2 linked regions of the Canis lupus familiaris genome follow. The protein of the gene in region 2 purifies or fractionates together with the protein of the main gene of each other region. This does not show direct contact. Links are inferred from orthologs where the notes say so. Each region holds a gene or a part of one and is shown on either strand. Other genes may lie near its edges.

What was found. Proteins that work in one complex are often made in the same cells at the same time.
Region 1: the proteins of RELB (region 2) and NFKBIE purify together in Homo sapiens (affinity purification with mass spectrometry; 3 studies listed by BioGRID and IntAct, counting the BioPlex papers as one, with this or other methods). This does not show direct contact. The link is inferred for Canis lupus familiaris from reciprocal best matches to the Homo sapiens genes RELB and NFKBIE.

The regions. Positions count from the first base shown.
Region 1 is NC_049233.1:12,862,870-12,869,979, forward strand, and holds the start of NFKBIE (NF-kappa-B inhibitor epsilon), read right to left. Parts: upstream 4,279-7,110; 5' UTR 4,148-4,278; coding exon 3,780-4,147; exon of another isoform or gene 3,491-3,779; intron 1,303-3,490; coding exon 1,200-1,302; intron 279-1,199; coding exon 56-278; intron 1-55. UniProt on the Homo sapiens protein: Sequesters NF-kappa-B transcription factor complexes in the cytoplasm, thereby inhibiting their activity. Sequestered complexes include NFKB1-RELA (p50-p65) and NFKB1-REL (p50-c-Rel) complexes.
Region 2 is NC_049222.1:111,171,653-111,178,773, forward strand, and holds the start of RELB (transcription factor RelB), read right to left. Parts: upstream 4,039-7,121; 5' UTR 3,900-4,038; coding exon 3,845-3,899; intron 2,990-3,844; coding exon 2,948-2,989; intron 1-2,947.

The DNA of each region.
Region 1 (7,110 bases), on a different chromosome or scaffold from region 2:
GAGTCCATCTCCTGCCGCTTCTCATCCCACGAACCCTGAGGCAGGCTGCCCATACCTTGCCAGTTTTGCAGCTGGAGGTCCAGGGAGTGAGGTGGTCCTCGGCCTGGCTCTGGCCGCCCCTCCAGCAGGCAGCGGGCACAGGCCAGGTGCTGGCGCTGACAGGCCACATGCAGTGCTGTGTCACCATGTCGATCCTGTAGCACCCGACTGGCCCCCTTTAGCACTAGGGCCTGAACCGCACCAGGCTGGTCCAGATGTACAGCTAGATGGAGTGCTGTCTGTAGGCACAAAGGATCACAGGGCTATTGTAGCACACTCCTACATCTGGGGACATGTTAGGGCAGACCCAGGAATTACCAGCTGCTGGTACCTTCCCTGAGGGCAGCTTATAAAGGCTATGGCCCTGGGCTTCCACAGAAATGCTACCAAACCCTTCCCTCTGTCACCACCCACCGAGCTCTTGGGACCCCTAGTTCTGGAGGCAGGCTGAGCCAAGTGGGTCCCTGCTCTCTTGCAGATCTCCTTAGCCCCTGGAGTAAGGACAGATGGGGGCGGGGCCTACCCTCTCACCATCTGGGAAGATCTCTGTTATCCCCAGGGGCCAGGTGACAAGGAAGGGTTGGAGGGAGGAAAGACAGAGGTACCAGGCAGCCTCCACCTGGCATACTTTTTTTTTTTTTTTTAATTTTTATTTATTTATGATAGTCACACAGAGAGAGAGAGAGAGAAGCAGAGACACAGGCAGAGGGAGAAGCAGGCTCCATGTACTGGGAGCCCGACGTGGGATTCGATCCCGGGTCTCCAGGATTGCACCCCGGGCCAAAGGCAGGTGCTAAACCGCTGTGCCACCCAGGGATCCCGCATACTCCTTTTTTAAGGCTCCAGGAAGATGCCACCTCCTGTATTAGGCCTTCCCTGGCTGTTCCCCACAGACACCAGATCCCACAGCAGCTGGTATGTGTCTCTATCACCACTTTTGTCACCATGCTATGTAATTAGTTTGACATGAGTCCCCTAGCCCAGGCTCAAGCACCTTGTGGGCAGAGACTGTGTCTTACTCATGTCTGCATCATTGGCTTCTATCCCCATGTCTGGCATATGGTTTCCTGAGTGTGAAGCCTATGTATGCTTGTGTGGCTGCTGGGAACGGCAGGTACAGGTATCTGGGCATAGCCCACTCTCTCCATCTACCCACCCACCTGGTAAAGGTTGTTCTGAATGTCCAGGACCTCCTGGGGCAGCAGAGCCAGGCAACAGAGCAGCACAGCTGGGGCCTCGTGAATCACTGCCAGGTGGACCAGCCTGGGAGGGGGACACAGCAAGAACAGGGGTTAGTGTTAGGGCTCAGGCCCTAGATAGTGAGCTAGGCTTCTGGGATTAGAAGGAAGAACACATCAATGTCTCAGAAGCCAGCCGTGGGCTAGGTGTAGGAAGTGAGAGTCTGAGCCAGGAAGTGAGGGTTGGTGAGGGAAGCCAGGATCCGGGGGCTGGGAGCTCCAAGTTCCCATCTCTGGCGTTCAGGAGGGCCTTAGCCCAGTGGCAGCGTGGGCCAGGTGCTGATGGGACTCGGTCCTTCCTGTTCGGCCCGCCCACACCCCTCTCTCCCTCTGGCCCCAGGGCCCTGCCAGGCTGGCTGCAGCTCAAAGCCAAACTGAAAGCTGCCGGGGTAGCACAGGGGTGGTTTCCGGGGCTGAGCTCCCCACCTCCGCCAACCTCGACAAGGAGGACTGAGAGGGGAGGCGTGGGATCACCCCGACTCCCAGCAACTCAATGTTACACATTCCAGGGGAGAGAAAAGAGAAGCTCTTGGAAGTGGAGCAAGGAGACAGCGAGGCATCCTGTCCTGCTGCCCATCCCAGAGGAATCAGAAAGGCCACTCTTCACACAGAAGGGACTGGGTGGGGCCTGACCAGAGGCCCTCTGCTCTGCATATGCTTCCAAGGGGAGGTCTGTGGTGTGCAGAAAATGTGTGTCTGTTGGGGGCCAAAGAGCCTTCACCTCTTGCTAGGGTGGGAGGGGGCAGCTGGGAGGGGAAGTTCCAGTCCTGGGGTTTCCCCACATCAGGTGGGGAAAATGAAAGCCAGAGCTAGAAGGTGGAGGCCAGGACAGCTGCCTTGGGGCATTTACTGCCCTGAAGGGGTAGTTTGGGTAAAGGCCTCTCTGGGCCCTGGAGGGGGCTGCTCAGGCCAGAGGAGGGTAAGGCTTGGTGGCAGGAGAGGCCCAGGAGAGAGTGGCGGAGGGAGGGAGGGCGGAGGAACCGCTCTGGAAATCCCCTCGGCCAGGGCCTGTTCTGTAGGTCACATTCCTGCAGCCACCTCCCTCTCTCCCTGTCTCCCCTCCTCCCACTTCCTCTTTCCACTTCCAGAAGGCCAGACACCTCTGAGGGAAGAGAGTGCCCCCTCCTCTCTTGGGACCTCCTGGGAAGTCCTGCCACCTCTTCTCCACCTCCCCCTGCCTCCTCTAAACACACCTGTCTCTAACTAGGTAAAGGCTGCAGCTGAGAGGCTGACAAAGGACAGCAGGGTCAGAAGTCTCCAATCCCTAGGCCAAAGGTCAGTCATAGGTATCCACATGGAGCGCCCCCCCCCCCCGCCCCCCCGCCCCATCTTGATTCTGTGCCTGAGGGCTGGTGATCTGGGCAGGTTACAAAAAGGCCTGGGGTCATTCCTGTCCCACCCACTGGGTCCACTGGCTATCTTTGTCAAAGGCTACCCAGGATTAGGACCTTCCCATCTCCAAAAAGCAGGTCAGGACAGATAACTCCAGCCTCCTCTACTCTCCCCACCCCTATTCGTTCCAGGATCCCTGATCTGGGACCCCAGCCCGCCCCACTCTGTTTCTCACCCCCAAATCCCAGCCACCTCCTCACCTGACACTGTTTCTTCTCCCTAAGGGGCAAATCTTCAAATGGCCAGTCCCTTCTACACAAAGTGCTTCTCTTACTTAAATTGCCTGTCCCCGCCCCCACCCCCACAGCCGCCAGGCCCAATCCCCACCAAACTTCATCTGGGCCCAAGAGAGGGAGGGTAAAATAAGGGAATCAGACAGGACAGTGAGGGGGACTTGGGGGATTCAGGAGGTGGAGGGTGTCGGTAAAGCTGACTCTAGCCCTCACTTCCCCTTTCAGAGCAGAGAAGGAAGTAAGCTGGGCAGCCAGCCGCCTGTCTGTCTGTCTGCTGGGGCAAGAGTGCCCCAGCCTGGCTCACCCCCTCTTCCTCACAGCTAGCCTCAGCTCTGCACCCTGGCAGCACCCTCATCCTAAGCTTCCTGACCGCCCCCCCCCCCCCCCACTCCTGCACTGGCAACCTGTAACTGGCACCTTTTGTTTCTTGACACAGGGTATTCTGAGGTCAGGGGCTGGGAATCCCAGATATTGAGCAAACAAAGATGCCTTCTCCCCCAGCAAGAAAAAAAAAACAAAAAAAACCTGGACTGGTCAGGGGACTTTTCCCTTCCAAGGGGCGGGTTACTGGGAGGTTTCCAAGCTGCTGGCTGGGGTTCCAGGTGTCTGGTAAGGGCCCTGTCAGCTGTGCCCAGCTCCCAAAGGGAGGGCAGAGAGATGATGCCAGGGCCTCCGGTCCGGGGCTGGCCAGAGCTCAAGAGCGGGCTGGGAGTGAAGCCTGGAGTTTGGAGGAGAGAGTGGGGACTGCCCCTTCCAGCGACCGTGTCGTGAGGGATCCGCACAGAGTGGGCCCCCGGCCTGCTGAGGATCCCGCAGGCCAGGGCTGAGCACTGATCGGAAGGGGTCCCCGCACAGCCTCGACAGACCCCATACTCACGTGTCTCCATCCTCGGAGATGTAGGTGAGCGCTTCCAGCTGCTGAGGGCTCAGCGCCCCCGCGGCCGGGAGCGGCGAGCGCGGGGCCGGGTCCTCGGCCTCCGGGCCCCCCAGCAAGGGCAGGGGCTCGGTGAGCGACGAGGAGCCGTAGGTGGAGTCGGTCCGCTCCGCGTCCGTGTCCTCCTTCTCGCGTGGCCCCTCGGCTGTTCCCGGAGGATGGGTCCAGGGCTGGGGGCCGCCGCCATCCGAGGGCCTGGAGGCTGGGGCCGGGGTGGGCTCGGGCAGGGAGCGCAGAGAGCGCAGGGACTCGATGCCCGAATCATACTGGCTCTCGTCTGTCTCGTCCGGCCCCTTCCGCGCCTCCGACATGCCAGGGGTGCTGGCCCGCGGGGGCTGGGGCCGAGCGGGATCCGGCTCCGGGCTCCGGGCTCCGGGCTCCGCCGCGCCGCCTTTCCGGGTTGCAGGTCCGCCTCGCAGAGCTGGCGCCCGGCCCGGGGTGGCCTCCTGCCCGGACTGCGGGGGCCCGAGGGGTCGGCGGGCGGCGCGGGCGAGGCTCGCAGCGCCGGCGGCTTCCACGGCAGCGGCTACTCCGGCCGCCGCACTGCCCAGTCGGACCCGCTCCCTCGCCCCGCCCCGGCCCCGCCCCGGCCCCGCCCCCGGCAGGCGCTTCCGGGCCGAGGCCCCGCCCCCCGGAATCCCCCTTGCCCCGCCCCCCGCGTTGGCTTCCACTCCGGGGTTACCCGGTCCTGAGTCACTCGTGCGTTAATTTACCCGTTCATCCATCCATCCATTTGTCCGACCACCCGCCATCCATCTATTCATTCATATTTCCCCCTTCTTCCTTCTTCAAGTCCATGCATTTTCTTTCTTTCCTTCCCTTCTTCATTTCTTCATTCATTTTTTCCCATTCATTCACTCATTCATTCGTTTTTAAAGGAATATTTATTAATCGTCTGCACAGGCTGCATACCACGCAGGGAGAGCATGTAGGTGATGGGATGGCAAAGCTCTGCTTCCTATCGCCTACCCATTTTTCTCAATTTCTGTGGTTTTCTCATCTATCCGTGCCCAGGAGTTTGGGTAGGGAAAGGGGATACCTATTACCCGTAAACGGGCAGTTCTCCCTTTGGGTCCTGGATAGAGGGTCTCCTGGGTCAACTTCCTAAATCACATAGAACTGGGTGTGAGGATTTTTTTTTAAGATTTATTTATTCATTCATGAAAGAGAGAGAGAGAGAGAGGCAGAGACATAGGCAGAGAGAGAAGCAGGCTCCTCGTAGGGAGACTGATGCGGGACTCCATCTCAGATCCCAGGATCACGACCTGAGCCCAAGACAGGTGCCCGACCGTTGGGCCACCCAGGCGTCCCTTGGTTTTGTTTTTTGAAAGTGAGTTTTCTCAGGCAAGCTCTTGTCTTAAAAAAAAAAAAAAAAAAAAAGCAGAGTGGTCATGTTTTTATTATCTAAAAAAAGCAGGGTGGTCATTCTTCACGAGGATGAAACACTGGTTCCAGGCGGTTACAACATCTGGTTACCCCTAGTGATCAGGGAAGTTTAGTTCCTCATGGTGGGGCCAGGATGGGGAGGCCCCAGACATCCTGGGTCATGCTCTGCTGAGGTCCTCACCACAGCCACAGCCACAATGCCAGCACATCTTTCCTCTTTCCCTGTCCCTCCTTTCCTTGGGCCTAAAGGGCCTACGGAGGTTATAGGCAAGCTCCTCCCCCATGGTGAGCTCCAACCCCATGCCCCATGACTCATCCCCTACTCCAAGTGCCATCAACCCAGGGGCAGCTATGACCTTAGAAGAATCATCCCCAATCATCTCTGGAAAGGAAGAAAACTGGAGTGAGTGTAGACAGCTACTAACCAGCTTTCCTACTACCTTCTTCTATGCAACCTCATTTATTCATCCATCTATTCATTCATTTGACAAACATGTATGGGGAGTTTCCTATATGCCTGACATTGGTCTTTCTGCTGGAAGCAAAACTGAGTATCATAGTAACAGTAGTAACCAACAACCCCTAACCCTACCCACACTTAAAAATGTCCCCTGGTCCCAGCCTTCAAAAATCTCCCTGTCAATTACAATACAGAGTGCTTGTGCTAAGACAGGAGTGAGAACAGGGTGGTGTGGGGCACACCTTGGGGTCGACTACCCAGTGGGGTGAGGGAAAGGGAAGAGGACTGGGGGGAGAAGAGAGGTACGTAGTGTGTGTGCTTGGTGGGGTGAATGAAGAGAGAAGAGTGGTGGGTACACAGGAGGAGATGCCCCACTGCTCTCCAGCCCCGTGGAGAATCAGAGTGGAGAGGATATGTTGAGCATGAGGCGGTGAAAAACCATGAGGGGAAAGCCCAAGGAAATTGAGGCATCTCCTTCCCTTGAGGTCAGTGTGATTTCAGACATTTGCAACTTCCTCCCCTGACATGTTCCTCTCTCATCCTCAAAGGCTAGAGCAAAAATACAGTCAGAAACTCCAGACCAGACTACTTGGGCTTTCATCTGGCACTATCACATCCCCATCTTAAAGTCTGGAAGCTGAAATCCAGAGAGGTGAGTTGAATTGCCCAAGATCAAATAGAAAGAGCCAAGTTCTCCTGTCCCTAATCCAAAACTTTGAAAAACACGTTCACTGAAACTTCATTTCTTTTATGAAGGCCTAAGGAGTTGGGGCATCTGAAACCACTGCAAAGACACAAGAACTTGGACAGATGCAGACAGAGGCTGAATTTGGGGAAAAAGCTATCCCAATTCAGTCCTACCTCTGGCTCTGAACTCTAACAGGTGTGTAGCAGCCCCTTTTCTGGCCACATGAGGTCAGCATTGAGTCACTCACCGCTTCCAGCACCTTGCCTGCAGTCCTACTGGAAGCCTTCCTGGGGACACTTCAGAATGAGGAGAGGGACCATTTGGAAAGATGACACGGGGACTCTGACTCAGGCCTCACCGTGGCCAGGGCCTTGACTTTGCTCCTTAGCCCCTCCAGTCCTCCTCTCTCCGCTGTTATCTTTTGGTTCCATTTGTAGTACCCCCACTCCCAGATTCCACCCACCCCAGTTAGGCTCATCTTCAGGAAACAGGCCCGGTTGCCATGGTGACCAGCTGGTCAGCTGGCTCCTTCCTCCCCCCTCCCTTCACCCCTCTTTCCTCTGAGTTTCCAAGGAAGGGTTCTGTGTGAATGGAGAAGTGTGTGGGTGGGTGGGTGGCGGGGGGGAGTTTGTCAGGGGTCTTTTATCTCTTGGAAGCTCTGGGGCTGGCCAAAGGAGTTGGGCCCAGCTCTCCTCCAAAGCCCCCTGCGGTGGATGGGGACAAGGAGTGAGATTACAACT
Region 2 (7,121 bases):
CCCTGGCAGGGCCAACCTCCAGGCACTTCAACTTAGGCATCTGTGCTGGATAATGACGTGGGGGGGACCCAGAGATGACTTCGACTTTGGACCCTTGAGGAGCTCCCAGGCTGCATGGGGGAACCAAAACCAAGGCCCAGGCAGCAGTGGCCCGAGCTTTGGACTGCCTTGGTTCAAGTCCTGGCTCTGCAACTTGCTAACTGGAGATACCTGAGCCCATCACTTAACCCCTTTGTGCCTTGGTTTCTCCATCTGTAGAATGGACACAGGAATCATGCCTCATTGGGCTGCTGTGAAAATTAAATGAGTGAATATGTGGGAAGCACCTAGAACTGCCACAATAGTAGGCATTGCATAAATGCAGCTGCTGCTCTTGGATAAAGTGTTGGGTGATCTTATTTTATGGACTTGGGTAACCAACCCACTTTCCCTCTCTAGACATCAGTTCCCCTGTCTATAAAAGGAAGAGGTTGGCAGACCTGCTTTTAGAGAATGGAGTGTAGCATCACACAGATGTTGGTTAGAATCCTCCCTGTCACTCACTGACTGTGTAGCCTTGGGCAAGTCTCTCAACCTCTCTGAGTCCTTCCCTATAAAATGAGGTCGGAGCTCTTTACTCAGGAGTGAACATGAAGGTTCAGAATTACACAGATAAATTGCTTACTACTGTGCCTGACCACCCTAGCCCTTCCATAAAGCTTAGCTATAGCATTATTATATAAAAATCCCCTTTTAGGGGATCCCTGGGTGGCGCAGCGGTTTGGCGCCTGCCTTTGGCCCAGGGCGCGATCCTGGAGACCCGGGATCGAATCCCACATCGGGCTCCCGGTGCATGGAGCCTGCTTCTCCCTCTGCCTGTGTCTCTGCGCCTCTCTCTCTCTCTGTGACTATCATAAAAAAAAAAAAAATAAAAATTAAAAAAAAAAATCCCCTTTTGGGGGCACCTGGGTGGCTCAGTTGGTTGAGTCGCCAACTCTTGATTTTGGCTCAGATCATGATTTTGAGGTCCTGGGATAGAGCCCACATCTGCTCCATGCTCAGTGGGGAGTCTGCTAGAGGATTCTCTCTCTCCCTCTCCCTCTCCCTCTGCCCTTCCCTCTGTGCACTCTCTGACTCTCAAATAAATAAATAAATCTTTGAAAAAAAACCCTCTTTCAGCCAACAAACATTGGGAACTTCTCCTTATTTAGGGCTCAACACAAATAACACTCCATCCCACCCCAAACTCCCACCATCCACAGACAGCCAGGATGGGCTGCATGGGAACAGAAAACTAGCTGTCTCTCCTGCCTCAGGGCCTTAGCACAGTCTGCTCTCTGCTGAAATGCTCTTCCTCCAGTTCTTTGCATGGCTTCCTCCTCCTCCTTCAGGTCCTTGCTCAAATGTCACCTACTAGATAGGTCTTCCCTGACCACTTTATCGAAAATAGCCTCCTGGTCCCTAAGATAGCTCCAGTCGCTTGTGGTTACGTGCCTTTGTTTTATCATTTTCACAGCACTGATTAGAATTTGACAAGACTTTATGTTAAGTGACTCTTACCTGTCTCCTCCTGTAAACTGTGAGAACCTCAGAATAGGGGACACATCTATACACATGTCTAGCCCATCAGAATGAGGGAGAGGGAATGAGTCCATCAGAATGAATGCCCTATCACAGCATTAGTTCTCCCATCCTTGCCCTGTTGTTAGGTATCAATGACCCCAAGACTTCTACAGAGCCTTTATCACATTTTATAATCCACATTTAATTTACTGCATATGTGCCTGCCTCCACATCTAGGTAGGGAACCCGTGAGGGCACAGTCAGGGCTGCCTCAGTCACGGCTGAGTCCCCAGCACTGCCCAGCACAGGACGAGGTACAGAACGGGCACTCAATAAATATTTATTGAAGAGATGACATCACAAATTACTCTCAACTGAAACCAAAGATCTTGGGCCAGAAAAAAACCTCAGCCTTGCTCCTGCCCAGAACTAGTGCTTGGGCAGTACCTCTCTCCAACGCCATGCCCCACCTTTCACCATTGTCCAAACTCTCAGACCTGTTAGAGAACCCACAGAGCCTCCTCCACCACAGCCTCTACCTCTAGACAGAGGCCCAGCCCCAGTCCACCGGGGCTACCGAGTCTTCACAGTAACAGGACTCAGTCCCTGCCCTCCAAATCCCAGCAGATTTAGAAGAGAGAGAGGATGTTGTCATTTAGCCATGATTCTGCAATTTCTTGGGCAGCACTGAATTTTGGACGGCAGTGCCTGAGGGACCTTCCAGACTAGTGGTTCTCAGCATCTTTTGGGAACTTGCTAAAAATGAGAACTCTCTGGGCCGATCCTAGACCTACTGAATCAGAAACTCTAAAGGGAGGCCTCAATAATCTACTTTAACAAGCTCCCTGGGTGACTCCGATGCACACAAAGGTCTAAGAACCACTGTTACAGGCTGTCTGATAATAGTGATGATAATAATAAAACCAGCTATCAACAGTTAACACTTACTGTGACTTTACTGTGTGCCAGACACTGCTTTGAAAGCCTGCCTGTATTGAATCCTCTCAATCCTCTGGCAAAGGGAGACACTGATACTATGTCCATCGTACAGATGAGGAATACTGAGGCCCCGAGAGAGGAAGTGATGTGCAGGCATTCACACAGTGAGGGGGTGGTGGCACCGGCATGTCATTATTACCCTCTGCACTACCGTGGCCAAGCTCCCAAGAGGACTCCTCTTAGAGGGTGCTACGTGGTTAGTGTTACCTGTCCAGCTCCTAACCCCCCGGGAGGTAGGGACCCCTGGGCCCCCGTCTCAACCGGCGGGGACCAACACAGGCGGTTAGAGGACAGCTGAGGCGGACCTGGGCGACACCCCACACAGGGGCGTGCCCAAAGCCGCCTCCACAGGACCCTCCCCCCACCCTAGCGCGCGGGTGGGCCGGAACTGTGGAGGGCTGCTCACCCGTGGTCCTGGAAACGGCGAGCGAGGAGAGGTCCGTGGACCCTGCGGGGAGGGAGGCATGTCTCAGGAGGGGCCGGAGAGGCCGCGGGAGGGCCGCACCCCGCGCCTTCGGGTCGGGCCCCCTCACCCCGAACGCCCGCAGGGTCTGGCCTTGCTTCCCTTCCCCAACTCATTCTCCCCACCCTGCGTCACACCCCGGGTCGGGTCTGGAGGAGCCCTTCCCAGCTTCACTTAGGAAAGCCCGCGCCCGTCCTTTCTCTCAGGGTCGACCCTACCCCTTCACTTTTTCGGCGTCAGGCCGTCTCCTTCTCCCCCAGACCCTGCCACCTGGCTCCTGAAGCAAGCCCCAGCCCCTCTTTCTTCTCAGAGTCAGGCCCCGCCCTTCTTTTTTCGGAACAAGCCCTCCCCCTTTTCCCTGCCAGAGTCAGGCCCCTCCCGCTTACTCGGAGTCGCCCCTCGCTTCCTTCTTGGAGTTAGGCTCCGCCCCCATCTCGCTCTCAGTCAGGCCCCGCCCCCCCGGTGAGCCAGGACCCTCAGCTCCGACTCCGAGTCTGGCCACGCCCACACCTCCGCAGGAGCGGCTCCCACTCCGCCCCCTCGGAGCCAGGCCCCGCCCCTCCCTCTCGGAGTCGGGCCCCGCCTCCCCCTTTGCCTCAGGGTCAGGCCCCGCCCCCTTCTCACTCTGTAGTGGGACGCCTCCCTCTTACCTTGGGCTGGACCCCGTCACTATCCTCTGCCTCCTTCCTTCCCTCTAATACAGTTTCCCTGGGACCCTCAGCCTCGCCCCCCCAAACCCCTAGGCTCCTGTAGGAACCCGCAGACTACTCCGGGACCCCCCGAGCCCCCGCATCTCCAGTTCCTCCCCAGACTCCTCTCCTGAACCCGAGTCCCGCTTACCCAAGGCCCCCAGCTCCGGCGCAGCGGACGGTCTGGCGACGCGGCGGCTCGGCATGGCCCGACCAGTGGGGACGGACGGCCCGGAGGCCGGCGCAGATCAAAACACACGCCGGCAGGCCGGGCGGCCAGGAGGCACGGTCCCGAGGACGATCGCCGGTCGGACGAGCGGCGCAGGGGCTGGGGCCGCAGGCCGGGCTGGAAGCGCGGCGCCCGGGGCTGCGGGGGGCGCCGGGCCGGGCCGGGCGGGCGGCGGGCGGGGGCGGGGCGGCGGAATTCCCCGGCGCCGCCGGCCTGCGCGCCCATTGGCCCGCACCCCATCATGACGTCACGCTAGGGGAACGGGAAAACCCCCACGCGTCACGTGGTTGCGGGGGTGGGGCCGGCCGGGAAGAGGAGGCCGGGCGCACGCGAGGGGCTGGACCCGCGCCGCTGCCCATTGCTCTGGCGGAGACAACTGAGGCTTGCTTAGGGCCACTCATGTCCTACCCGTGGAGCAAGTCTGGAAATTGAGGCCCGCCCCCCCAGGTCCACCAGCGGTAGCTGAACCTGCTGTTCTCTGGCTGTAAGGGAAGCTGCGGATCAGGAGGTTGGCAGGGCTCCGCTGCCATTGGTACTAATGATCTTTAGGAAAACTAGTCTCTCCCTATGCTTCAGTTTCTTTAACTGTAAATTGGGATTGAAGATACTTAAAAAGTTTATGGCTAGAATACCAGTTTTAGGATTTGTCTGTTTTGTTCCTTGCTCTAACCCTAGAGCCTGGAACAGCCCTTGGAGCACGGTAGATGTCCAATGTTTGAGTTAATGGATGTTTTATTCCTGCCCCACTGCCCCACGTAATTTCCTAATAGCCCGGAAGACTTTCAGCTCGAGGGTTCCATAACTCAGTGTGCCAGCGTTAACGATGGAGCCCCCAGTATACATGCTGAGCGGTAGGCAGGGCCCCTGAGCAAAGGGCTCTCACCAGGGCACCTCACAGATGCCTCCCAGTTTGCACCTGTGTCAAATTAGGATTATTGCAGAGAGGAGGAGATTGAGGTGCAAAGCAGGGCAGCCCTCTGGTGAGGTCACATTCCTAGGCCTTCACTATCCCTGAGAATGACTAATTGACCATCAGGTCCTAACTTGGATGCCCAGCACTCTCAGACCACAGAGCCAAGGTTTGGCATCCTGTGTCTGCTGCTGTAAAAATTCCACCTCTTTTCTCCATGACCCACACGGATGTATTGATTCATTCAACATACACTCATTGAGCACCTGCTGTGTGCCAGGGTCCGCACTGGGCATCAGGTCACAGCACTCACCATATCAGGCCTGGTGCCTGCTTGTAGGAAGCAGAATCATGTGCAGCAGCAGTCTCAAAGTGTGGCCCTCGGCCGTTCAGGTGATGCGGATAGCTCAAGCTTAAGCTGGAGAGCTACTGCCGTAGAGTGAAATATCAAGCAAACTTTTTCCACAAAAAGCGGCCAAAGGCAGCATGGAAACAGAGCATGGCCGTGTTCCAATAAAACATTATTTTGTGGACATTGAAATCTGGATTTTGTATAATTTTCATGTGAAGTGAAATCTTTCTCTTGAGATTCTTTTTTTCAACCACTTAAACATGTAAAAATCACACAAATACTAGAAAAAGCAGGATTTGGCCTGCAGGCTCTAGTCTGCATTCAACAAGAGTATTGCAAGAGAAGTTATGATGGGAGGGTCCAGAATCAGGCTGTCTGGGTTCAAATCGTAGGTCTCCTACTTACCAGCCGTCTGACCTCAGGCAACTGACTTCATCTCTCTGAGCCTCGGTTTCCTCATCTGTAAAATGGGTCTTATGATAGTTGTGAGGATTAAGATACTAAAAATAGTTGACATTTGCATATAGCTCTTGCATGTGCTGGGCCCTGTTCCAAAAGCAGGGAACCCAACAAAAGCCCCTGCCATCACATGGAACTGAAATCCAAGGCAGAGGAGACAGGTGGAAAAAGAGACACAAATATTTATGTCTGGTGGTGATGGTGGCATTACAGAATAAAGCAGGATATATGGATTGGGTTTGGAGGGCACTGTTTGGGTGAGGATGTTCAGGGAAGGCCTGAGATGAAACGGAGCAGAGTTGAAATGATGAAAGATCTATGTGGCTATCCAGGGAAGTGTGCAAGGCACAGGGAACAGCAAGTGCAAAGGCCCCGGGGTAGGAACACATATGGCATGTTCAGGGAACAAGAAGGCTGGGGTGACCACTAGAGAAGAATTGGACAGGATGGGAAAAAGCTGGCCTGTAAGGTGATAGGGGACATTGAGTTACATATATTTAATAGATGAAGCAAACTACAAACAACCCTGAGACATGAGTTTGGCTCATGATAAGGAACATCGAATTGTGGCTCCTGCAACACGACCAGGAGCCCACCTGATGTCCTCTTGTCCCTTGCAAACGTTGGGCCTCACAACTGTATTAGGTGAATAGCTAGGATAGGTAAGAAATCCTCAGCACTCAGGGCTTCTGCTTGGCTCCGAGCCCCTGGAGGGCAGGCCTGGGGCTTTCTTGGTCTCTGCTGTGTTATACTATATGTTGGCAAATAGAACTCCAATAAAAAAATACACAAAAAATAATAAACCAAAACAAAAAAATAAAAATAAACAGAAGCCCCCCAGCTTAGGGCAATGTGCAGGGGAGGGGCTCAGGAAAAATTTGTGGATTTATTGCATGTCAGTTTCCCTCCCAGTGTGTTAATGCAAGCCCCATCAAGGTCTCCACTTCTGATGTGTCTGGGTCTGTGAAAGTCAGGAGCGCACAAACATATGCTCAGCAAACATTCCTGGAGCACAAACCAGTGAGCAAGACAGCGCTGGCTCTGTCTTCACAAGGCTTGGTCCAGTGAATAACCTGTCTCCAGGCAGTGATGACCCATAGTGGGTGTGAAAGCTAGGAACTGGAGGTCCCAGATCAGGGGTGTGAGAGCCCAGGGAACTGGAGGCCCCAGATCAGGTGGCCAGGGAGGACTTCCTGGAGGAAGAGACATTGGAACCGCAATGTGGAGGATGCACAGGGTAAGATATAAGTTGTGTATCTGAGGGCATGTCCCAGGGAAGGGAAAAGCAGGGTCTATAGCCAGAAGGTAAGAGATCATGGCAAGTTAAAGCAGGGAAGATGCATCAGGCTGTGGGGGTCAAGTCCCATTCCCTCAAGGTCTCGCTCATTAGGTAGGGGCCTGGGCTCTTCTCACAAGGGTAACAGGAACCATCAGAGATTCTGAGCACAGACCAGTAGGGTCAGGTTTGTGCTTTAGAA